Linked DNA regions of Arabidopsis thaliana. The protein of the gene in region 4 interacts with the protein of the main gene of each other region in a pairwise test. Each region holds a gene or a part of one and is shown on either strand. Other genes may lie near its edges. The genes, in order: SR34, RAN-1, RS2Z33 and MOS14.

Evidence for each region.
Region 1: the proteins of MOS14 (region 4) and SR34 interact in a two-hybrid assay, tested with the Arabidopsis thaliana proteins (one study listed by BioGRID).
Region 2: the proteins of MOS14 (region 4) and RAN-1 interact in a two-hybrid assay, tested with the Arabidopsis thaliana proteins (one study listed by BioGRID).
Region 3: the proteins of MOS14 (region 4) and RS2Z33 interact in a two-hybrid assay, tested with the Arabidopsis thaliana proteins (one study listed by BioGRID).

What each region holds. Positions count from the first base shown.
Region 1 is NC_003070.9:624,209-630,941, reverse strand, and holds SR34 (RNA-binding (RRM/RBD/RNP motifs) family protein), read right to left. Parts: upstream 4,304-6,733; 5' UTR 4,114-4,303; intron 4,030-4,113; 5' UTR 4,025-4,029; coding exon 3,938-4,024; intron 3,843-3,937; coding exon 3,777-3,842; intron 3,635-3,776; coding exon 3,560-3,634; intron 3,461-3,559; coding exon 3,328-3,460; intron 3,242-3,327; coding exon 3,195-3,241; intron 3,108-3,194; coding exon 3,050-3,107; intron 2,973-3,049; coding exon 2,923-2,972; intron 2,831-2,922; coding exon 2,774-2,830; intron 2,697-2,773; coding exon 2,473-2,696; intron 2,166-2,472; coding exon of another isoform or gene 2,144-2,165; exon of another isoform or gene 2,008-2,143; coding exon of another isoform or gene 1,947-2,007; exon of another isoform or gene 1,655-1,946; coding exon 1,621-1,654; intron 1,525-1,620; coding exon 1,448-1,524; intron 1,363-1,447; coding exon 1,359-1,362; 3' UTR 949-1,358; downstream 1-948. Other genes in the region: BGLU11 (beta glucosidase 11), read right to left, coding at 47-110, 239-373; AT1G02830 (Ribosomal L22e protein family), read left to right, coding at 5,334-5,569, 5,650-5,797; LEA3 (Late embryogenesis abundant 3 (LEA3) family protein), read left to right, coding at 6,638-6,711.
Region 2 is NC_003076.8:6,757,985-6,763,454, reverse strand, and holds RAN-1 (RAS-related nuclear protein-1), read right to left. Parts: upstream 3,362-5,470; 5' UTR 3,092-3,361; coding exon 3,089-3,091; intron 2,938-3,088; coding exon 2,868-2,937; intron 2,646-2,867; coding exon 2,589-2,645; intron 2,502-2,588; coding exon 2,384-2,501; intron 2,126-2,383; coding exon 1,708-2,125; 3' UTR 1,125-1,707; downstream 1-1,124. Other genes in the region: RAN2 (RAS-related GTP-binding nuclear protein 2), read right to left, coding at 43-99, 440-509, 636-638; AT5G20000 (AAA-type ATPase family protein), read right to left, coding at 3,905-4,045, 4,125-4,235, 4,420-4,518, 4,630-4,786, 5,145-5,308, 5,391-5,453. UniProt on the Arabidopsis thaliana protein: GTP-binding protein involved in nucleocytoplasmic transport. Required for the import of protein into the nucleus and also for RNA export. Involved in chromatin condensation and control of cell cycle.
Region 3 is NC_003071.7:15,669,647-15,675,396, reverse strand, and holds RS2Z33 (arginine/serine-rich zinc knuckle-containing protein 33), read left to right. Parts: upstream 1-2,696; 5' UTR 2,697-2,771; exon of another isoform or gene 2,772-2,956; intron 2,957-3,058; 5' UTR 3,059-3,065; coding exon 3,066-3,172; exon of another isoform or gene 3,173-3,796; coding exon 3,797-3,836; exon of another isoform or gene 3,837-3,919; coding exon of another isoform or gene 3,920-3,976; coding exon 3,977-4,072; intron 4,073-4,177; coding exon 4,178-4,365; intron 4,366-4,444; coding exon 4,445-4,540; intron 4,541-4,679; coding exon 4,680-5,025; 3' UTR 5,026-5,224; downstream 5,225-5,750. Other genes in the region: ABCG2 (ABC-2 type transporter family protein), read left to right, coding at 1-1,842; ALS3 (aluminum sensitive 3), read right to left, coding at 5,225-5,539, 5,618-5,750.
Region 4 is NC_003076.8:25,129,530-25,135,404, forward strand, and holds the start of MOS14 (ARM repeat superfamily protein), read right to left. Parts: upstream 3,188-5,875; 5' UTR 2,945-3,187; coding exon 2,822-2,944; intron 2,252-2,821; coding exon 2,174-2,251; intron 2,083-2,173; coding exon 2,020-2,082; intron 1,794-2,019; coding exon 1,746-1,793; intron 1,659-1,745; coding exon 1,512-1,658; intron 1,033-1,511; coding exon 901-1,032; intron 511-900; coding exon 470-510; intron 188-469; coding exon 96-187; intron 1-95. Other genes in the region: AT5G62610 (basic helix-loop-helix (bHLH) DNA-binding superfamily protein), read right to left, coding at 3,588-3,713, 3,803-3,880, 3,952-4,020, 4,102-4,167, 4,250-4,456, 4,772-5,071. UniProt on the Arabidopsis thaliana protein: Functions as a nuclear import receptor for serine-arginine rich (SR) proteins. Regulates nuclear import of SR proteins that are required for proper splicing of the two resistance (R) genes SNC1 and RPS4, a crucial step for their functions in plant immunity.

The DNA.
Region 1 (6,733 bases), on a different chromosome or scaffold from region 4:
ATTCTCGAGCTATTCAGAGAAACATCAAGAGAAGAAGAAACCAAACCGGCATGAGCAAAAACATCCCAAATGCTAGGAGTTCTCCCATCTTCGTCAGCAGCTCCTTCCACCTGTTGGAATTTATAGACAAAACACTGGTTTATCTGATAGTTTCTGATCTTTTATCATTCTAACATGAAGGTGAATATATATGTAATGTTACATCTCAGGAAAAATACTCAAAAAAGGGTTGAAGAACCTGATAAGCTGATGTGCCAGAGCCAAAGACAAAGCCTGGAGGGAAGTCATTTCTGCTGTATTTAAGCGACGAAACTGCGGTTAAAGCCAAAGCCAGCAGAGGAAGGAACATTAGACTATTGCTCAATAACTTCATCTCTCTGGTCTTGTCACCGTACAGAGCAAAAAAACTTTAGCAAGCAAGAACAAATACGAACGGTGAACCCCTTGTGATAGATTATTTAAGTACTTTAACAAGCAAGTACAAGTTTGGTTGAAACACGGAACTGCATTCGTCTGCTTCTAGGAGTGGGTCCACTTGTTTTGACAAGTTTGATGAAGAAGTAAAGAGCAAATCGTCCAACGATATAGAAAATAGGGAGCAGCATTAGCTTTCAAAAGGCTTTTTGTTTGTTTCCTTAGCTTTAGTATTTTTTTGTTTGGACCCACATGTTAACATATTGAGTGATCAACACCATAGTACCACACTCTCTAAGTAAAGACACTTTCATTATCTCTCAATGAGCAGCGAATACTTTTCAAAGAGATTGTTGATTGCCTTTTGTTGCATGTTCTATATCATCCAATAAAATCAAGTTTTGTCTTCAGGCTTATATAGCTCTCTAAGCTAAAGAGGACAGAGAATCCAAATCAGGCACTACTATACCAAGGATATAGAACTATAAAGATGGAATCGAACATGATATGATTGCAAAAGAGCATGAGAAATTAGGGAAACGAACAAAGGACTGAGTTCACCACAAAAACCAAGTTCAAAGCAGACGTCTCCAGACAAGATTCACCGGTTACTGGAATCGTACAGTTCAGGCTATACAGTCAGATTCCGGATCAGGTCTAAACACGACGTTGTTTAAGTGAGAGCTTTAGTTAATTAAGAAAAGGATGAATCAGAAGGAGGGAAAAGAAACGATATCTTCAAAAAAAAACATCATTCTCAAAAGTAAAGGGATCCAGAAGACGAAGAATGGCAAGAATATTACAAAATGATAGTGCAAATCAAACTTGTCGCATCTTCTACAGTCAATAAGCGTTCAGATATAATCCACTTCAAGAAAGTAGAATTTGTTTTGAGTAGCAAGAAGATGCTTCTCTCTTCTCTTTTCACCTGGATATCTCCCATTTTACCTGCAAACAAGAGCTCAGATTCAGATTTACGCATTATCAAACAAAATCAGATTGCAATGTTTCATTTCTAAGAAAGATTATGTACCTCGATGGACTCCTAGTGTGGATAGGACTCTTGGCTGGACTTGGCTTGCTAGGGCTCTTGCTTCCTTCCTTCTGAACCTGTGATACAGAAAAGCTATTAAGATAACGAACAATGTAAAACAGAAGATTATGTCAAAATAAAAGAGGGGTCACAAGTTGGATCTTGTTACTCACAGAAGGTAGAGGAGATCTTGATCTTGAACGCGATCTGCAAAAGTCCAAGAAAAGAAACTCAGATTCAAAAATCCAAACATGTTGTGTTTTATACTGTTCAGCAAGGTCCTGGAGCCTCTCCTTCTATCTCACAGAGATTAAGAAGTTGCAACAAATAAAAAAAAAGAAACATAAACCAAACTATTCTGCTACTTAGTTAAAACATAGGTGATAGGACAGAGGTTTTATAAGCCATGTGGCCAAAAAAACTTGTGTTGCCAAATGAGCCACGGACGTCCCAAGAGAACCCAGATTCCATATTGTCAATCCATCGAGCCAATATAGTTTTACAGAAATCCCGATATAATATTGTGATCCAAGTGATCCAATGTCTCCACTGTTATCCATCTAGCAGCAATGTAAATTAGTGAATACTATATCAGGAAGCCACGAAAAGCAAAGTCTCTATTCCAAAGTTTCCCATACCTCTTAGACGAAACACTTGTCAACAATCAATTTCCATCCAGATATTAATTTCCATTTTCTAGTCGTATGTAAATCCATATCTATGAAACAAAACCATTTTCTTCTCAGGAAAGAAAAGAGCATATTTAAAAATGCTAAAAATGTAAGGCCAATCTCGCAAATCTTAACCAGAAAAGGGCTAAGCATCTAAATATAAGGATGGAGTAAGAAGGGACAATAATGACGAGCAAACAGCAGGTGTCAACAAAAAACCAGTATATGCTCAATCAACAAGAACTTTGAGCATCAACAATGACTTTTCTAATCAGATTTTCATAAACTTCACAGGAAAATCTACCGACTAAGTAATGTTGCCTGGTGCATTCTGAAAAGGAATCAAATCATTACCTTCTTGGAGACGGTGACCTTGACTTCGAGCGGGGGCCAGGAGATCTTGATGTAGATTTTGCAGGGGACCTACGTGAAGACTTTGCCTTGGGACTTCTGCTCCTGCTCCTGCTTCTGCTCCTGCTTCGGCTCACGCTTCGTCCACGGCTGCGGCTGCGGCTCTTAGAATAGGATCTTCCCCGGCTAGGACTCCTAGAATCCTTCCTTGAATCATATTCTCTAACCTAAAGAGATATGAAACAAAATATTAAACACAACAATGAAAAGATCACAATTCACAGGAAAGTCAGCTTCAACTAACCCGGACATATCCATTCGAAAACGCATTTCGAAACTCTGTGTCGTCGAGCTTTTTCAGCTGGGGAAATTCAAGAGTGAGAGCTAATCAGTGATTAAGGATGAGTAGAACAAACTCTCAACCACAGAAGAGAAACAGGGAAAATAGCTTACCGCATACTTCATGTCCTCATAGCAGGTGTAATCAACAACTCCAGTTGTCCCTACAGTAAGATTGTCCAAGATTAAAACCATTCAACTTGGTTTTCGATGGACAAGATTATATGGGCACACTTATTACCTCTAGCATCACGGTACACTTGCGAGAAACAGACATCGCCTCCTTTACGCATGTGATCCTAATGTAAAAGTGATTCATGTTAGAATTCAGAAACTTTAAAGATACAAGGGGAAGTAAGGAGTTTTGTTGACCAGTGTGAAGTCACCTTGAGATCTTGCCAAGAAGCAGATGAAGGCAAGCCTGTGACTAGAACTGTGGTGGACAAAAGAAAAACAAGTAAAATTAGGAACAATTCCTACAACTTTGGACAGAATAATGCAAATTATATGACTACATACCACGAAACTCTGATCTCCTAGATGGCCCACGACTACCACCATCACCACGGCCGCGACCACCACCACGGCCACCACCATTGAAACTACCCCGAGTATCATCTGATGAACGCCTCCCACCATGCGCCAATTCCACCTACAAAAGGCAAACATTCGTTAAATTAGATTGAAAACCAATCCGAAAACACTCAAGAGTTGTAATTAAATATCTGAAATTCGAGTAATAATAACTAACCCTCAAACGATGCCCATCAAAGTCATAGCCATCACGACCATGAATAGCATCTTCAGCATCCCGAGCATCATCAAACTAAACAGATTAACGAAACACAAATAGGAAGAAAAGTCAGAACAAGTTCAAATTCTCGAATCATAACAACAGAGAGCCAAACTGTAATAACATCAAGAATCATAACACATGTCACTGCAAGAATAAGAGGTGGTAAGCTGACCTCAACGAATGCATAACCAGGAGGCCTTGGAGGAACCTTCAAATCAATTTGAACAACAGGTCCATACTGAAACAAAAGGAAGAAATAAATGTTACGGAGACTTATTATTATCGAGTGTAAGCGAAAACAAGGTTTACATAGCATAAAGACGAATCCTTTACCTTACTGAACAAATCTTCGACCTCTCTCTCACGGATATCGCCAGGAAGGTTTCCGACGTACACGGTTCTACTCGAACGACTGCTCATTCTTCCTTTATCAAATCCAAAAACACAAGTCCAAAGTCAAGATTCAAACTTTATCAAGAATGTCTGAAGCAGAGGAAGCGAAAATTCACCTGTTGGTCGTCGATTTGAGATCTCTCAGCCTCCGCAATTTGGGAATTTAGGGTTTCGAAGTTGGCGAACGATATAGGTTAATAAGGGAGCGTCACGTGAGTCACGTGAGCCTTTTATATACTATAGTGTGGCGAAGAAACGTTTCAATTATCTGCTTTAATCAAAATCTTAAAACATTACAAAGAAAGCAACTTAAAAAATTCTCACAAACAAAAAAATTACATGTCTCCGAAACTGGCTTGTTGTTAGATAGGTTCATTTGCCTGTGACCATTCCAACTTTATGGAGATGCTTCTAAGACTATATTGTTCGAGTAATGTCATTCTCCGTCAGTCGTCTTAATTATAGCCAGCTACAAACATAGAAATTGTAAGGTTAGTTTTAGGAAGACAAATATGGCAAAACATGTTTGATCACTAACTAGGGTTGGTTCTCTCCAAAATTTGACATTGTTCTTTCATTATAGGCGTAAGAACCTTGTTGAATTGGTTTGTAGTTAAAAGTCTTTTGCCTTGAGATATGTCTTTGTTGCTCTTAGAGAAATCTGATTTTGAAGTTTTTGATTTGTTAAGCAGATACAGAATCAAGCAAGGAGATTTGTGCTGAGGAGAAAGAGTTGTCAGACAAAAAATCTCACTATAGATGTCGTCGAGGCAGAAGGAATGATTACAAAGCTATTGATTCCATGACTCATAACATTCTTTTACTTATAGATTCGATCAAAGCACTGTTATTTCTTCAGGTGACTGACTTTCATCCACTAAGATGAAAAACTGCTTCCGAGTCGCAATGCGAAATCGCAAAGCCTTGAGAAGTTGTATAGATGTTTTATTCATAATTGTACAATTGTAAGAGAATAAACCAGTGTTTGATATAGTTTCCTCCACATCTTTTAAATGCTGAGATAACTACTCTAGGAAATGAAATACGGTACAGGTTTTATGTGATCAAATATCTCTTGATGTTGAACAAAGATTAATTGAACCGAGGCCGGTTCAATATTTGATATCATTTCGGATCAAACAGAAATTAGACAAGCTCTTAGCCCAAGTATTGGGCCTAAGAAGCCCATTGGGCTAACACTAAACAAAACCCTAGGGACTCTTGTGGGTCATTTATATAGTCCATCCCTAACCTCGCCGCGGGAAGATTTTCATCTTTTCGAGCCAACGTCTAATCTAAGCAAGAGAGTTTCATTCAATTCAATCTCTGTAGGAAGATGGCTCGAGTAGGGGCCAAGTCGAGTGGAGCTGGTGCTAAGAAGAAAGGAGTTTCTTTTGTGATCGACTGCTCTAAACCAGTTGATGATACGATCTTGGAGATAGCCACGCTTGAGAAGTTTCTTCAGGAACGAATCAAGGTCAGAGGTAAAGCCGGTGCTCTTGGTAACTCCGTCTCCATCACCCGATATAATGGAAAGATCAATGTCAACGCCAATTCCAATTTCTCCAAACGGTAAACTTCTTTTCTTCTCTCACACGTCTTTAGAAACCCTAACTTGCTCTTAAATTGCAAAAATCTGGTTTTGAATTCAGGTACTTGAAGTATCTGACAAAGAAATATTTGAAGAAGTACAATCTCCGTGATTGGCTACGAGTGATTGCATCTAACAAAGACAAAAATGTCTACGAGGTACGCTACTTCAGGATTGACGATGAAGTAGCTAGTTACGAGGAAGATTAAGCTCGACCTTCTTCATTCATTTTTAATTACACTTGGTCTATATTTTTCCTGCTTAGGACGGATCTTTATTAATTGTCCAAGTTTTTGCTGTCGTATGATTTTGGTGGTTAAAATTGACACAAGGATGAGGACTAAGTTCATTTCAAAATTCTGAAAGAAAGAGTGACTAAATGGCCGACTCTTTTTGAGGCCGTGTTGGTTCGGCAGAATTGAGTGGTTCCGACTCAATTTAGTTTAGGAGATCAAAAAATATCTAAATATATGCAATCACAATTATTTAGGAGATAAAAAAATATCTAAATATATCATTAATTTCTTTTGAGCATTATGAATACGTACATATGGTAATTTCATATATGAACATTTATATTTTCGGTTGACTACAAAAAAAAGAAGATAAAAATTGGTTTTGGTCAAACTATAGTATACTTGTATATTAGATGAGTTAATTAATTTTAAATCCAGATAAGTAAAACAAGTTGTTAATTACATACAAAACGACTTTGAAAACAATTTTAATTATAAGTTACAACTAACTTTAAAACCCTAAACCCAAAAAAAAAAATCAAAAGAAACAGAAAACAATAACTTTGGGTGAAAGCCTAAATTGACGCAGCCTATCTGCTCTGCTTCCTCTATATAAACCCTCCTCTCATCTCTCTTCCTTCTCATCTATCCTGCAAAGCATTTTGAAATCTGTCAAGAGAGATAGGACGACCAAGTTTGTTCGATCTCGTTGCCGCAAAAAGGTAACAGCAGTCATCAGATCAAGAACCTGAGAAACTTCTCTTTTGCGCTGTTTTTCTTCTTCTCCAAAACTCGTAAAACCTATAAACCACAATGGCTCGTTCTCTCGCTAACGCTAAGATCCAATCCGTCTTCGGCTCCGAAAAGCTCTCGAACGCCGTTTTCAGGTAACATCTGTTTCTGAAACAA
Region 2 (5,470 bases), about 18 Mb from region 4:
TCACAGAAATTGTGCATTCACAAGCATCTTTGCTATACTTACGTTCATACTTCTTCTCAAACTCCCCAGTAAGATGTCTCTTCACAAAGGTCGTTTTCCCTGTACAAAACACCAAGAGCAATCATAGGTTTAGCAAGAACTAATCAAAAACATTGAACCATACTAAAACTGAGCCAATGAAAACAACATTCCGGATCATCTAAGAATCGATATCCCAAAGATCTGCTCAACGAAGGCCTAGTCTGTAAGGTTCTCTTTAAAACCAATCAAACATTGATATTATCAAAAACCAATCGTACAAATCTAATCAGCACATCATCAAAATCTCAAATCCGTCTCTTAAACGAGAATGCTTTCAGATGGGGACAGTGAAAAGACGATCAAATTTCAGAGATCACAAAAAACAATAGGTCAAAAAACACGGCGAAGAATACTGTACCTGTGCCTCCATCACCAACGATGACGAGCTTGAAGCTAGGATAATCTACGGTTTGTTGGTTAGGTAGAGCCTGAACAAGATATCACAACAAAATTCAGTAAAATCCGAAAAAAGAAACATCAACGAAATTAAGCGATCTCGTGAGATCTAAATACTACAAGACGAAGAAATCGGGAAAAGAGAAGAGAATGTTCACCATGTGAGAGGAGAAGCGAAGTCAGACGTTGATGTCGTCGAGGTTTAAGAAGCGATGCGGCGAGAGGGACTAGGGAGAGAGATGGGGTTTTAATAAGGAGAATTTTGGGAGGTTTTGGCTTAGGTTTGACGCTATTTTTTCCACCGTTAGATTCCATCTTTTGGCTCTCCAATATCTACGCAGCTTTCTGCACCGTTGGATCTTTTTTTTTTCAGCTTTAGGTCCTGGTTTTGAGTTTTGACAAAATAAATAATATATTTATTTCCTGTATCGTATGTGAAGTTTTGATTTTATTTGTAGCATAGTTTTTTACTAACAAATCATTTAAATAAGGATTTATTGTCCGTAACGGATAGTTTCAAAATTTCAAGTACTCACTCACATGACATCCATCTAATGATGCCTTTCAAATTTAATGGTAACATATTAATACCAACAATATTTCCAGAAATTAATATACACATCGATAAATTCTTAAGCTCAAACTTGCAGAAATTGGTCTTAGAGCTCACGGTTGAAGAAAATGTCTGGAATCACGGATTGAAATCGGTCGTTGATTTGAGGGAAAGGGTTACTTCATTCTTCAATGCAAGAATGGTTGCCAAACAAAAAGTTATCCGATTATTATTCTACAAGTTCTGGTGCGGATTGATTAAGAAGATCAAGTTTCAAAGAAGAAAAGGAAGAGGATTGCAGAAGAATCTGCAAAGCTAGAGAGATCGGGGAAGGCAAAGAACTTAACCATTGTCAATGCAGGTCAGGTCTCCCAACAAGATCTACTTGCAGCTAATTTTACCCAGGTTTATATGACATCACCTGGTAGCTAAAGAGTGGCATCTGAAATCTAAGAACTGGCAAGTAATAGGAGGTAGAATAAAGTTTTCCAATCAACTAATATTCTTGCGAAGAAACAACTTAGCTTTGGATACCATCAGAAGAACCATCCAAAAATACATACCTAATTTTTGTTATAAGAAAGACCGATTGATTTATATGTAACACCAAAACAACATAGAGAAAACCAAAAGGAACAAGCAAGAGCTTCCCACGGCAGACATTCTAGAAGGATGATTTACTCAAAGATATCATCATCGTCATCGGGGAGGGGTTGAGCTGCAGCCTGTAAGAGCTCGGCCTCGTTCTTCTGCTGATCAGCAATGTCAATGTGAACCTCTGGTGGAGCAAGCGCTGGTGTCTCCACAAAGTGAAGGTTTTGGTCTCCAGCCAGTTTTCTAGCAAGGTACAAGAAAGGCTTCTCAAAGTTGTAGTTGCTCTTTGCTGATATCTCATAGTACTGCAGATTCTTCTTCCTGTGGAATGTAACCTGCTTTGCCTTCACTTGCCTGTTCTTCACATCAACTTTGTTCCCACACAGAACAATCGGGATGTTTTCACACACCCTGCAGAGATCACGGTGCCATGTCGGAACATTCTTGTATGTGAGCCGTGCTGTGACGTCAAACATTATTATAGCACATTGACCATGGATGCTGCAAGAAATTCAAAGATGATTAGCTATACATCCAGATGGAATATCAAAATTAAAATTCAAGTTCTACTCTATTTGTCCAGGTAACAAAATCAGTTGCAAACTATGCATACTTCAAAACATACCAGTCTTATACCCATTGTCCAGGTTAATCGGTTGCCAATTTCAAATCCTAACCAGAGCTAATCCAAACTAAGCACACTCTAGATTGACTCTAGACACTAACCTATCAATGAGAAAGTAAAGGGTCCACACTTACTAGTATCCATCCCTAAGGCCACCAAATTTCTCTTGTCCAGCAGTGTCCCAGCAGTAAAAACGGATCTTGCCACAGTTTGTGAAGAAATCTAATGGATGAACCTCCACACCAATAGTAGCTGCAACAAACAAGATTACGACTCAAAATCAGAATCATTTAAGAGACATGAAGAACAGAAATCTGAACATTCACAAGCAATACTTACGTTCATACTTCTTCTCAAACTCCCCAGTAAGATGTCTCTTAACAAAAGTAGTCTTCCCTGCACAACCACCAAAAGCAATCAAAGGTTTAGCAAAACAATCAAAACACATTACCATACTTGAAATCAATTGAGCCACTGGATACAACAGTACGGATTATAAAGAGTCGACTAGCAAAATCTGCTTAGCATATGAGCCTATCTCTATCACCCCAATCACCATCAACGTAAATCCAAGCATTGATTAATCGATAAAAAAAAACACGGCGAAGAGTACCGTACCTGTGCCTCCATCACCAACAATGACAAGCTTGAAGCTGGGATAATCTACGGTTTGCTGGTTAGGTAGAGCCTGAAAAATATATCCACGACGAAATTAGAAACTAGAACATGGAAACATCGACGCAATCTCGTGAGATCTGAGACGGAGATAATCCTAGATCAAGGTATACAATCTGATAATACACGAAGAAGAAATCGGTAAAATCGAAGAGAACATGTACCATGTTTTCGCAATCGCGAGCTAGAGGAGAGCGAATTCAGGCGATGGTGTTAAGAAGGAAGCGGCGAGAGGGAGAATGAAGATGGAGAGGGAGAGAGAGATTGGGGTTTTTAAAAGAGAAATTTGGGAGGGTTTGGCTTTGAGTTGACGCTACACTATTGGCCGTTGGATTCTTTCTCTTTGGTTCTTCTGCAATTTTAACGCAGCTTTCTCCACCGTTGGATCTTTTTCTAGCTTTAGGTCCACGCGTACTCATTCATCGGCATTGATTTTTCTTTCCTTTTTTCACATTTAGCAAATTTTGAAATTAAATTCATTACAATATATACGCGTTGGTTTTGACAAAATAAATTATTTATTTTCTTTATCATATTTATACCTCAATTTTTAATAATAGACACCATTCATCAATAAGGATTTTTATTGTTCATAACGGATAGTTTTCAAATTATTCTTGACACATGCCAGATGGGTTGAATTTCTAAATTAATGTACACTCCAAATTCAAATCACTCACTATTGACCTCAGCGGTGGATCTCAGGTACAAAGCTATGTCGATTATTTTGTCTCAAACAATCTTTTAGTTGGTTTTCTCTTTAAGCTAATGAGACTGAGTTGGAGAAGAATATACTCTTAAGATGTAAAATGTAAGCTTGGTTGAATCGAAGATGTTATGCTGAACAACCATTTGAATGAATAGAAACTAGTGTACAAACATTGTTTAGAAAAGCTTAAAGCGCTAGCCGAAAAGGTTTCAGAAAGAACCACAGACAGTAGAGAAGAAATAATCGAAATTAATCTGTGACTCTGAAATTCCTACTTCCAGAGCTTACGCAGAGACATGTTCTTCTCTGTGTCTTTCTTCATTACCTTCGCCACAGCCATCTCAAAGTCTTCCTGAGTCACATGTACTCTCCTCTCACGAAGTGCAAACATGCCCGCCTCCGTGCATACAGCCTGACCGTAATAACCAAAAACATTAGAGAGAGACAGATTGGAGAGAACAAGACAGAAGCAGGGACAGAGAAACACTTACCTTCAGCTCAGCACCTGAAGCACCATTCATCTTCTCTGCAATCTTTTTCAGATCGATTCCACGCATCAAATTCATTTTCCTTGAGTGTATCTTCAAGATATCAAAACGTGACTGCAACACATATTAGAAATATACATTAGCCAAACCGTCCTGCCTCACTTTGGGTACAATAAGTATGGAGAAAAGTATTTTACGCAGTAAATGATAGTTTACCAAAAACAACGGAGTGAGCAAAGTTGCTACTTCAAGTTTAAAGTTATTTCTAATATCATGTCCTAAGAAACACAAGCATTACCTCTTCATTAGGATTAGGAAATTCAATTTTCCTATCAATCCTTCCAGGCCGGAGAAGAGCTTGATCCAGAATATCAATACGATTTGTAGCCATCAAAACCTGCAACAGTCATTTAAGAGAATTAACAACTTTGTCTGCGAAATTCAGAGTAACACAGAGTTATCCTTTTCAGCTTCATGACTATTTTTTCATTCACAACATAAGGCATACCTTGATTTTGTTTGACGCCTCGAATCCGTCAAGTTGATTGAGAAGCTCAAGCATAGTCCTTTGCACCTCACTGTCACCATTTCCACTACCAGATTCCATACGAGCAGACCCGATACTATCGATTTCATCCATGAAGATGATTGATGGTGCATGCTCCCTGAAAACCATAAGCCAGAGGTACTAGAAAGGTAAGCTAGCTGGAATAAGTATTTTTCAGCACAATGAAGATGATTAATGGTGTATACTTTGCTCATTACAAAAGACTATTACTGTGGCCTAAATGCTAGGCATCGAGACTACTTGTAAAGATCATTATGCTTGAGATCGTATACATGTTGAAACCATATTCATAGCAGGAACAGAGAACAATTTACTCAATTTATTTTACTCCACATGTCCACTACAGCTACTAAGCACGGGCATGTAAAAGATTTATCGTGTCAAAAGTTCCATCTTTTCCAACCTACCACTTTTACCATGCTTGAAATATTAAATAAGGACTAGCATGTACAAACCTTGCCATCACAAAAAGTTCTCTGACCATTCTAGAACCTTCTCCAATGTATTTCTGGACCAGCTCAGAACCAGAAACTCTGATGAAAGTACAGTCAGTGTGATGTGCCACAGCCCGAGCCAATAGTGTCTTCCCAGTTCCAGGTGGACCGTACAACAACACACCCTTAAAAGAGAGGGAGAAGCAATCAGTTCGAAATCCACTTAGCAGCGTCACAATATAGATAAGCTTTGAAATTCAAGTGTACCTTTGGCTGCGCAATTCCAAGAGACTCAAACAATTCAGGATGCTTGATTGGCAGTTCAATGACCTGATAAACCAGTAAAG
Region 3 (5,750 bases), on a different chromosome or scaffold from region 4:
GAAGGGGAGATGATGGCGGTTCTTGGAGCAAGTGGGTCCGGTAAATCAACACTGATCGATGCATTAGCCAACCGGATCGCAAAAGATAGCCTCAGGGGATCCATTACCTTAAACGGAGAAGTTCTTGAATCAAGCATGCAGAAAGTCATATCGGCTTACGTGATGCAAGACGACCTTCTCTTCCCGATGCTTACCGTGGAGGAAACTCTAATGTTCTCTGCAGAGTTCAGGCTCCCTCGTTCACTCTCCAAGAAGAAGAAGAAAGCAAGGGTTCAAGCTCTGATTGACCAATTAGGCCTAAGGAGCGCTGCAAAAACCGTGATTGGTGATGAAGGCCACAGAGGAGTGTCTGGAGGAGAAAGGAGACGGGTATCAATTGGAAACGACATAATCCATGACCCAATCATCCTCTTTCTAGATGAGCCAACCTCAGGGCTCGACTCTACAAGCGCCTACATGGTTATCAAAGTCCTTCAGAGAATCGCACAAAGTGGCAGCATAGTTATCATGTCAATCCATCAGCCTAGTTACAGAATCATGGGTCTTCTAGATCAGTTAATCTTCCTTTCTAAGGGAAACACAGTCTACAGCGGCTCACCAACACATCTCCCTCAGTTCTTCTCAGAATTCAAGCACCCAATTCCTGAAAACGAGAACAAAACAGAGTTCGCTCTCGATCTCATCCGAGAGCTGGAATATTCTACAGAAGGAACCAAGCCACTTGTCGAGTTCCACAAGCAATGGCGAGCAAAGCAAGCACCAAGCTACAACAACAATAACAAGAGAAACACCAACGTATCTTCTCTCAAAGAAGCGATAACCGCGAGTATCTCAAGAGGGAAACTCGTCTCTGGAGCAACGAACAACAACTCATCAAACCTAACACCATCATTCCAAACATTCGCCAATCCTTTCTGGATTGAAATGATAGTAATAGGCAAACGTGCTATATTAAACTCAAGAAGACAACCAGAACTCCTCGGAATGAGACTAGGAGCTGTAATGGTCACCGGAATCATCCTAGCTACAATGTTCACTAACCTAGACAATTCCCCAAAAGGAGCACAAGAACGTTTAGGATTCTTCGCATTCGCAATGTCAACAACATTCTACACATGTGCAGAAGCAATCCCAGTCTTTCTACAAGAACGTTACATATTCATGAGAGAAACAGCTTACAACGCTTACCGGAGATCCTCCTACGTCCTCTCTCAATCCATAATCTCAATCCCGGCCTTAATCGTCCTCTCCGCAAGCTTCGCCGCCACAACATTCTGGGCCGTTGGTCTCGACGGAGGCGCCAATGGTTTCTTCTTCTTCTACTTCACAATCCTAGCCTCATTTTGGGCAGGAAGCTCCTTCGTAACGTTCCTCTCCGGCGTTATACCAAACGTAATGCTCGGATTCACAGTCGTAGTAGCGATCCTCGCTTACTTCCTCCTCTTCTCCGGATTCTTCATCTCTCGAGATCGAATTCCTGTTTACTGGCTCTGGTTCCATTACATCTCCTTGGTGAAATACCCTTACGAAGGAGTGTTGCAGAACGAATTTCAAAATCCGACGAGATGTTTCGCCAGAGGAGTTCAGTTATTCGACAATTCGCCGTTGGGGGAGTTTCCGAACGATGTGAAAGTGAATCTGTTGAAGAGTATGAGCGGTGTATTGGGGACGAATGTGACGGCGGAGACTTGTGTGACGACGGGGATTGATATTTTGAAACAGCAAGGGATTACGGATATTAGTAAATGGAATTGTTTGTGGATTACTGTTGCTTGGGGTTTTTTCTTTAGGGTTTTGTTTTATTTCACTCTCTTGATTGGTAGCAAGAACAAACGGAAGTGATTAAACAGTTGTTCTTTTTTTTTTTTTGAAAAAAGGTTTGTTGTAATTTTGTTTCCTTTTTCTTTCAATTATATAATTGTATGTCCTTGCTATATTTAATCGATTAATTAAAGAATAATAAAGTCATAATTTATGAAATGAAAAATACCGGTGATATTTATATATCTTCATTCTTTTTATTCTGTAAAAAATGAAAGTGCTTTAGGAAAAAAAAATGCTAAATGTTAAAAAAAAAACAGAAAATAAAAATCTAAGCTAATTGCTATTAGTATTTCTTTAATAACAAAATAGGATTATAGGCGGACTTTGATTTGTTCATCAAAGAATAGTTTATAACATGAATTGGTAAACGGTAAAATTTATCCTAGAAGGTAGAAGATAGATGTCATAAACTATGCATAAATAGATAGATGTCATAACAAATCTGATCACTTTTAGATGTTGTAAGTTTTTAAAGATTAGAGGATCCAATTTGTTATAATGAATTTGCATAACTAGATATATAGTTTAGTCTGGATAACTCATTACTATTAGTCTTTAAGCAAATGTGATCAGAGTGTGCAACATAGAAGAATACCGAGACATACAAAACTTGCAATTTGTAAACCACCATTCTTATTTTACAATTTACACAAATTAAATGGGCCTTATTAATATAAGGCCCAACAGATTGCAAAATGGTGAATATGGCAACATCGATTCTTATCTCTTTTTAAAGATATTTACCGTTGGTTTAGGACACAACACCAAATTATTACCGTTGGATTTAGTCGGTTCTGTCTGAAGCCCATTTTTGTTTTTTTCTGTCAGCGTCTGAAGCCCATTTATAAACACTTGAAAACCATACTTTAGCTACCTTACGCTGTTCTTCCCCTTTCCTTCCGAAATTAGGGCTTCCGTGTTTCGCAGTGCTCTCCTTCAATCCCCAGGTATCGAAACTCTGCTCAATTCGATGATTCATATTGAAATTTAGTGCTTTCACTGCTCGGAATTACGATTTTATATTGGTTCGATGCATCTGCGGTGATGGTTTCCTTAGCTTCTGTCTTTCCGATTTATCGCTTCCTTGTCTCTGAATTAACTAAATGGCGTCTTCTTTGGGGCTTTTTTATAGGTCTTGAGTTAGTGAATTTTTGTTACGTTCTTGTTTTATAGTTTCTAACAGGTTATGCTCAAAAATCTGTGGTTTCTTTGTCCCTTTTTTTTGATTTTGTAGCTTGACAATGCCTCGCTATGATGATCGCTATGGGAACACTCGTCTTTACGTTGGCCGATTATCATCGAGAACTAGGACCCGAGACCTTGAACGTCTTTTTAGCAGATACGGAAGGTAATTGACTCTTCTATCTATGATTATGGACGAAGTATTTTGATTTCTCGGTAATTGGAATAAATGATGGTCTCAATGTGATTTTTCTAGTTATATAGTACGTAAATTGCTATTGTGCGAGGAAACAATTGCAGAAAGTTAAAAGTATCGAGGAGCATAATGCTTCTTTATCTTGACATATTGATTTCTATGTGTTGGGGTTAGTTAAATGAGAGTCTTCATGCGCCTTTCTATATATCTTGGTTATGAAAATTGTTAGTGCGAGGGAGAGATGCAGAAAGTCGTCATTAAGCATCGAGGGGCATAGTTTTGGTTCTGTATTTTGATATTTGTGTTCTTGAGGGAAAGTTGTGGAACTAGGTTTAGTCATTAGTGTATGTTTTTAACTTGAATGATCTTATTGAAGGTCTCTGGGATTTTGCCTAACCTGGAGGTGTTTGATGAGTGGGTGGACTTGGTGGAAATTCTCGCCAAGTGTTTAGGGGACAGGGCGCCTTGGCGATTCTGTTTGTAGAATTTTTTAATGTGTTTTGATGGAAATGGAGACTCAGTCTCAAAAATGGTGTTTAGAAGTACCTTAAAGTAATGATGGCCTTACTTTTCTGCCAACAATTTCTTCCGCAGAGTGCGAGATGTGGATATGAAGCGAGATTATGCTTTCGTTGTAAGTAAAATCTCCTTTTAACCTGAGCTTTCGATTTCTTGAAAAAGTCATGTAGTACGTTTTTTAGTCGGAACCAATGTATAATGTGGGAAAACACACCATGCATGTGGTCTCTTTTGTCCTCACATTTTCGAAATCAGGAATTTGGTGATCCCCGTGATGCTGATGATGCAAGACATTACCTGGACGGACGAGACTTTGATGGAAGTCGCATCACTGTGGAGTTTTCACGAGGGGTGAGTTGTTTGGCTCTCTATTTTCAGGCTCTATCATTTGTTTATAGGTATGGTTGAATGTGTTTGCCAAACTCATTAGAAATCAATATTATGTTTGTATGATAGGCACCTCGTGGTTCTCGGGATTTTGATAGCAGAGGCCCACCACCTGGAGCTGGTCGCTGTTTTAACTGTGGTGTAGATGGTCATTGGGCTCGTGACTGCACAGCAGGGGACTGGAAGAACAAGTGTTACCGTTGTGGAGAGAGAGGACACATTGAGAGAAACTGCAAAAACAGCCCCAAGAAGCTTAGGTACTAACATTTCTTTCAGAAGTGCATTTTTTGTTATTCTTTCCACTTTCTCATCTCCCTTTCTTGGATTGTATGGCAGGCGCAGTGGAAGCTACTCCAGGTCACCTGTAAGATCCCGTTCTCCTCGTCGTAGAAGAAGCCCAAGCCGGAGTCTTAGCCGTAGCCGAAGCTACAGGTTAGTATTTGCCCGTGTAAACTTCAAAATTTTGGTTTATGTTTAGGTGTTTACATGCATTAGATTTATGTATGAACCTGAAAGCATGAATCCGAGTAACTGCTTTCTCTGATTGACTTCTTATTTTCCTTATGGTCAGCCGATCACGATCCCCGGTGAGAAGAAGAGAGAGGAGTGTGGAGGAGAGATCACGCAGTCCAAAGCGGATGGATGACTCTCTATCGCCAAGAGCCAGAGATCGTAGTCCGGTTCTTGATGATGAAGGCAGCCCAAAGATCATAGACGGGAGCCCACCACCATCACCAAAGCTTCAAAAGGAAGTCGGATCTGACCGTGACGGTGGTAGCCCCCAAGACAATGGCAGAAACTCTGTTGTCAGTCCTGTTGTAGGAGCCGGTGGTGACAGTTCGAAAGAGGACCGGAGCCCTGTTGATGATGATTACGAGCCAAACCGCACTTCCCCTAGAGGAAGTGAGTCTCCTTAACTTTGATGGCTCATGGCCACGGCTTGCAGGCATTGTAGCATGTATACTATTGGATCGACTGTTCCTTTCTCTTTTAAGTGTGTTTGCTTTAGAACCTTTTAAGTTTCATGTTACCAAGAGTTTTTTCATTTGAGACATAATGTTGTTGCGTTTCTTTTGGACAAGTTTTCGAAGATTGTTATAAGGATTTATAAAAGTTTCAATCTGAGGAGAAGACATGAGTTTGTAACTGGTAAGCTTTAGTGAAGAAAGATGGCCAACAAAGATAAGTAGACGTGATGCTACTAACCGTAGCTGCTCCTACCATCATGTTCATGACTACTATCTGAAGCTGAATAGCTTCTAGAGGCGACGCCCCGCCCATTATCATACCAGTCATTGCGCCTGGTAGAGAGATCAATCCAACGGTTTTGCAGCTATCTAAAACCGGAGACAGAGAGATCACTAGTGCTCTCTTCACCTGTTGCAACGTCGCTTGTCTTGGCGTTGCTCCTAGTGCCAATGCCGTCTCCACCTACGGTTCACGACAAAATCAAATAAACCGGAAAATCTAATTAAACCGGGAATTTGGTTTGGTTATAGTTTTTTTTACCAGGTTGAGTTGCATTTTGATGTCATCTCGAAGCTGTTTCATGGTAACTCCGGTGACGGTCATGGCATTTCCGACCAACATTCCGGCGATTGGGATCATATACCTCGGAGTGAAAGGAAAGACGTTGAGGAGG
Region 4 (5,875 bases):
AAAGATATTTCAATTTACGGGGAAAAATATATCAATGTGAAGTATCCCAAGACTCTAAAGGCCTATGTATATATTAGCTTTTCCAACTAGTATACCATTAACAGATGCCTCTGATAGTGGATCACAGTTCAAACTTGAGAGAGCTGCATGCACCAATGGATGACAGGCAAGCACTGTTCCAGGAATCCTGAAAAAGACCACCCCAAAGTTCACCAGTATACAGTTCAGTCAGTATCATCGTTGCTAAGTTGAATTGGTGAAAATAAAGAAGGATAGCAAGTAGAAACCAACAGCAACAAATCAGATAAACTTAGCTTTGTGTCTAAGATGATTCTATATAGGACAAAATCTATGACCCATATATTAAAACAATTTACAACCTGACGAACTCGCAATGAATATTTGTAATCTAGACGAGCTTTTGTTCTAAATAAAACTGGAGATAGAAAAGCAAAAGAAAAGAGCATACCCATGCCTAAGACGGAGCCAAGAAGCAAATGCCTCGAGAACCTGAAAAATCAAAATTACAGAACACAATTGACAATAAGTGACTTCTTGCAACACCAAAAACACTAGCTGGTCCAACACACAGGAACATGGGACATTTTTCAGAAGCTAACAATAATGCAAGAAGACATATTAAATTTTGGCAGGTGAGTGAAAACCTAAGATGTAATCAAGCTTTTACCTAAAACTAGCAAATATGTTTTGACAAGGCAAACATAGACTCTGACTGGTAAAGAAAGTAAAAACTAGTGGAAAGTAAAAAAACAGACATGCATCAGAAAACATAAAAAGAAGAAGGTTATTTTGATGTGTTATACAGAGGGATCATGGAAAGTGAATAACAAACTATGTACTGAACTATGTCACGACTCTATATTAAAGATAAGCTCTGACCTGTTCCTTAAGTTCGGATATTTTCAAACATGCTGATAAGATACTAAGTGCAGCTTCCATTTGAGAAGTAAGCTCTTTTTCGAATTGACGTCGTCGATCCGGACGAGCAGCTATTTTGTAGTTAAATGTTTCCTGGTCATAGCAAGAAGGACAATATAAGATCAAGACATCATATAACCATCTAGATTAAAGCTAAACATTCCTAAAGTGAATCAAGTTAATGAAAGGGAAAGGTCAAACGATGTGGTAGAGATTTGTGAAAAAATTAGAATCTTCATTTAGTTACAAATAAACTACCAACATTTTTTGCAAACAATACCATACAAAATATCAAGGTCTTGCCCAGCCAATACTTTAGGGATTGAAATAACACTCACAGAGTAACGTCGAATGCTACCTAAACATAGATATGGAAAAAGTAAAAAAGGAACAGAATATTCTCCAAATAGGTCTACCCAATTTGAGGTCAGTAATACCAGCATAAATAATAAGTAAGAAGATCCAAGTCAGACCAAAATAAGGCCTTTCATATCTATATAGCCGGATACATGAAGTCAAATTAATTACTGAGTGAGATGAACACTTAAACAAAGGAATAAAAAATACTCTACCTCGGGCAAAACTGTCAAGAGTTCCAAGAAACCAGGCACATATTCAGGATGCATATGCATCTCATCCCTAAGCCAGCTAATTATACCACCATCTCCCCAGTCTGCCGCAGGAACATGCACCGCCAAGGCAGCAACAGCAATGCTAATCTACAATATAAAATACTTAAATAAGATAACTCGACACAAAGTACATGACTTTATACGCACAACAGAAAATTCCACATATGCACTTACCTGGGTCCTAACTTTTGGAGGGCCCTTGTGGAACTTTTTTAACAATGTCTGCATTTGAGAAAATAATGAAAGTCAAAATTTTCCGGGAAGTAATTGTCCAATACCAAGAATAATAGGCCAGAAAGATGAAATCATAGTAAAACCTAGATCCCAGAATACTCTAGTTCAACTGAGTTTTCCTATTATGTTATTGCTCAAAGGAACAGACATACTAATGAATAACTCATGAAACCCTACAACTTTGGAAGAAATAGTTAATAGAACAAAGAATTACCGTTAATGATTGCCGTAGCTTCTGAAAAGCCCCAGGTGGTAGTTCTTCAAAATCTCGTTGAACCTTCGAGTGAGACAGACTAGATGTCACCAGAATGCTCCAAGATTGTGTGATAAATGAATAAGGATTTACAGAAACATTCAGGTGCATTTACCTTGCTTCGAAGGGTCTGAGAACAGAATATCAAAGTTTCCAAATTGCTAGAAGAATCATGAAGTAAATTATCCGCAACCTAGAAAACATACAACAGCACAGAGTAAGAAATATTGTAGAACTTCTCCATCAAAAAAAATCCTCTTCTCCGCAACAACAATCATGGGTCTAAAAGAAAAGAGCTCATATAAAACCTAGCTAATCGTTTCTCTAACAAGGTAAATCTATTCACACACCTTACACATACTTCTCAAACCAGCTACAGGAAAAAGTGCACAATTGAACTTAGATGTACTGAAAATTCGAGATTTCTGCTATGCATAAGCCTATATGACCTTAACAAGCGAATCGCTAATACAAATTGACTAAAGGATGAAAATTTATGCACTTATATAGTCTAAAGTAACTCAGAAATGAACTTAGACGTACTGAAATTTTGAGATTTCTGCTATGCATAAGCCTATATGACCTTAAAGAGCAAATCACTAATACAAATTGACTAAAGGATGAAACTTTATGCACCTATATGGTCTACAGTAGCTGAAAATCGAACATTAAACTCTAGCACAAGTGCTACAAAACAAGGAAGAACAAATCGAACCTAAACAAATCGAGATTAAATAATTGAAATCGAAAAGAAAAAACTCGCCTGCCAAGCATCGAGAGTTCCTTGGAAGTTCTGAAGCCAGCGATCAGCGTGCACACGCACTGTATCATCCGGGTGATGATACAGTGCGTTTAGGGCTTCTTTGACCGCGTTCTGATGCTCCATAGCTATGAATCTTTACGCGTTATTCGCTCGTACGGTCACCAAATCACGACCAGAGAGAAAGACCCAGATTGAGAAATAGAAGAATTTGCCCAACTGAAATTCGGGATTTTGTCAAATCGATTTCGCCCAACAAAAACAATAAAAATAAAAACTTTTTTTTTCCCTCTTTGTCAAAAAGGTTTTTTTTTGGCGCCCCTCAACTTGAGTGAGGAAGAGAGATAGAGATCGAATTTTGATCTGAAAGAGGATGAAGAAGAGAGAATCTCAGCCGTTAGATACAATTACTTTGACTTAAAGTCAAATCCTTCTTCTTTTATTTTGAAGACAGAAGTTGTTTACTTTTTTTCAGTTGTTGCAATAAATTGAAGACAACAAAAAAAACGTATCATTGATTCATCATAACATAAAGATTATACAAAGGACAAGATTTAAGACCAACATATGTTACTGAATCAATTGTTACAAGTTATATAATAGGACAATACAACAATGTTTTATAAAGTGTTAATCTCTCTGGTCACTCTCATATTCTATCTTATGATATAACAGCAAAATGATACACACGCATAGGATAAAAAATAAAGGGTTGCATTCATTTTTACTGCCTACAAAACACATCCATCAATCAGAGAAAGACTCTTTTTTATGTGGTTCGGTTAAAGTTCCCATCAACCTGCATATGGAGCCACTCCGGTTGAGATACTCGGGTTTCATTAGCTTCTTGTTGCTCGTATATTGTTCGATGAACGTCAATCGGTAAAGTCCCGAGCTGATACAACACACCAAGAGCTTTTAGATTTAGTAGCTTTGATTAAGAAAGATAAGATTTTTCTATGTTCTTTTAGATTTGGGACTTACATCACCGGAAGGAAAAACTCCTATTGTCGGACCAGTACTTGCACCCGAGTTAACAACTTCTAGCTTCATTGATAGAAACTGCAGACCAAACTCCATGCTTAGGCATGTATAATTGTAACATATAACAGAGAGGTGTTAACGACTTTTACCTCAACTTGCCGCTGCAATGACTGAATATAATTGATAATCTCATCGAGCACAAGGGCTTTTCCGATTATCTGATCAACAGAAATATCTTGTTGAATGTTTTTTAGGCTATAATAACATCATTCACAAGCAGGGACCAAAAGAACATGTACCTTATTACATCCTGGAATTATATCTTGAAGAGCTGTCATCTTCTCACTGATCTTTTCTCTTCTAGCCTGTCAAAGACAACATTGTGATTCTAATAAAAGGAACAGTTTTTGAGGATAAAATTTATGGTGATTTTAGCAGAAGAATTACTCGCTCTGCTAAACTATGCCGGTCAGTAGCTTGTCCTCTTCTTGCTCTCACATGAATATAATCCTTTGGTGGCTCAGGTTTGTTCTTCTGTTCCGTTGCTTTGCTTCCACCACCACCCGAACTTGTTTCGCCTTCAGGTCTCATCGAACCATCTCCATTTCCACTTTCAGATCCACACAGTTTTCTTTTCTTATCCCCTGATTCTTTCTATTAAAAAAGTAAACAGATGGAAAGCTTTAAGATCCTAAATCAAACTCTCAATCTAAGATCACTAAGTAAGCATTGACCATTCCAACATCTATCAAACTAATGGTCTTCAAGCTGAATCCAACTTAAGTCAAAAAGTCAATGGAGATAAGTCATCTAATCTATAAACTAATCCTTGATCCCTAAACCAAAGACTTAAACTTTGACTCATTGATTTTTAGATCACCACCAAGCTAAAGGATCTAGATTCAAACATTCAAAAGACCCAACAAATAAAAATCAGGACTTTTCAAAAATTGAAGTGCAAAATCTCACCAATTCATTACCACTGCTGCTGGAAGAAACCATCTTTGAAGAATCATCCTCAGAGTTCAAATCTCTAGTCTTTCTACTTCCCCAGCCAGCAGTTAGATCGGTGACTGTAGATTCCTCAGCCGCGGAGACGTCTTTATTGCCGGAATGTTCAGAGCGAGTAAAGACTCGACCGGAGTTAACAGCTAAACGGAGACCAGAGCGAACGGCGTCGTTTACAGGGAAAGGCCAAATCTCGGAGAGAGTGTAAGAAGAAGGATTAGCTGCAGAGAAGGAGGAATCGTTCACTAGTGGAGGGTCCATTTCCGATGATCGTAAAAAGGGTTGACCCAGATTTAGGACCCGGATCCGAGAAGTGAGGAACTTGATAGAAAAAAAGAAGGAAAAGGTTTGAGCTTTGCGAGGTCTTGTCTTGTTTATAGGGTTGTGTGTGAGGTGGACAAATAGAGAGAGAGATCGGAGAAGGTAAGACAGATGTGGGTAGTGATAATGCGCCACTAGTATGCAATGGAAGATGATTTATCACCAATACTTTCAGAAAATCTCATTAATTACACAGCTTACATCAAATATTTTGCCGTTTCTGTTATAAAAAAAATATTACAATGGTAAAATTTTCGTTTCGTTTAGAAACAAAATTGAATAGAAAAGATATATTATGGCGCAATAACCTAAATAATTTCTATCAAAAATAAAAAATAAAAATCTCACAATTATGTCTTTTAGTTATCCTTTGATTAAATTATTTTTTACTGTGAACAACTTTGGTAATTTTACTGTGAACAACTTAAATACACCAAAGGACAATGCATCTCTCTTAGAAAAAAATACATACTAGCAAAACCAAATCATGTTACTTTGGTAATTTCATTCTGACGTGTTTAAGGAAAAAACGTATATGTTTGGATTAAAAATTTGATCTTCGTACCATATGTCCATCCTAGTAAGTACTCGATCGCCTATGTTTACAATAATATTCACCAATTAGTGTTTTTTTATTTAACATAGATCTCCCACTTCATAGTCATATGTTTTATGAAAGTTAGTTGTGTAAAGTGAAGGGAACCACACACCGGTACGTAGGATACGATCGAGGATGTGACAATG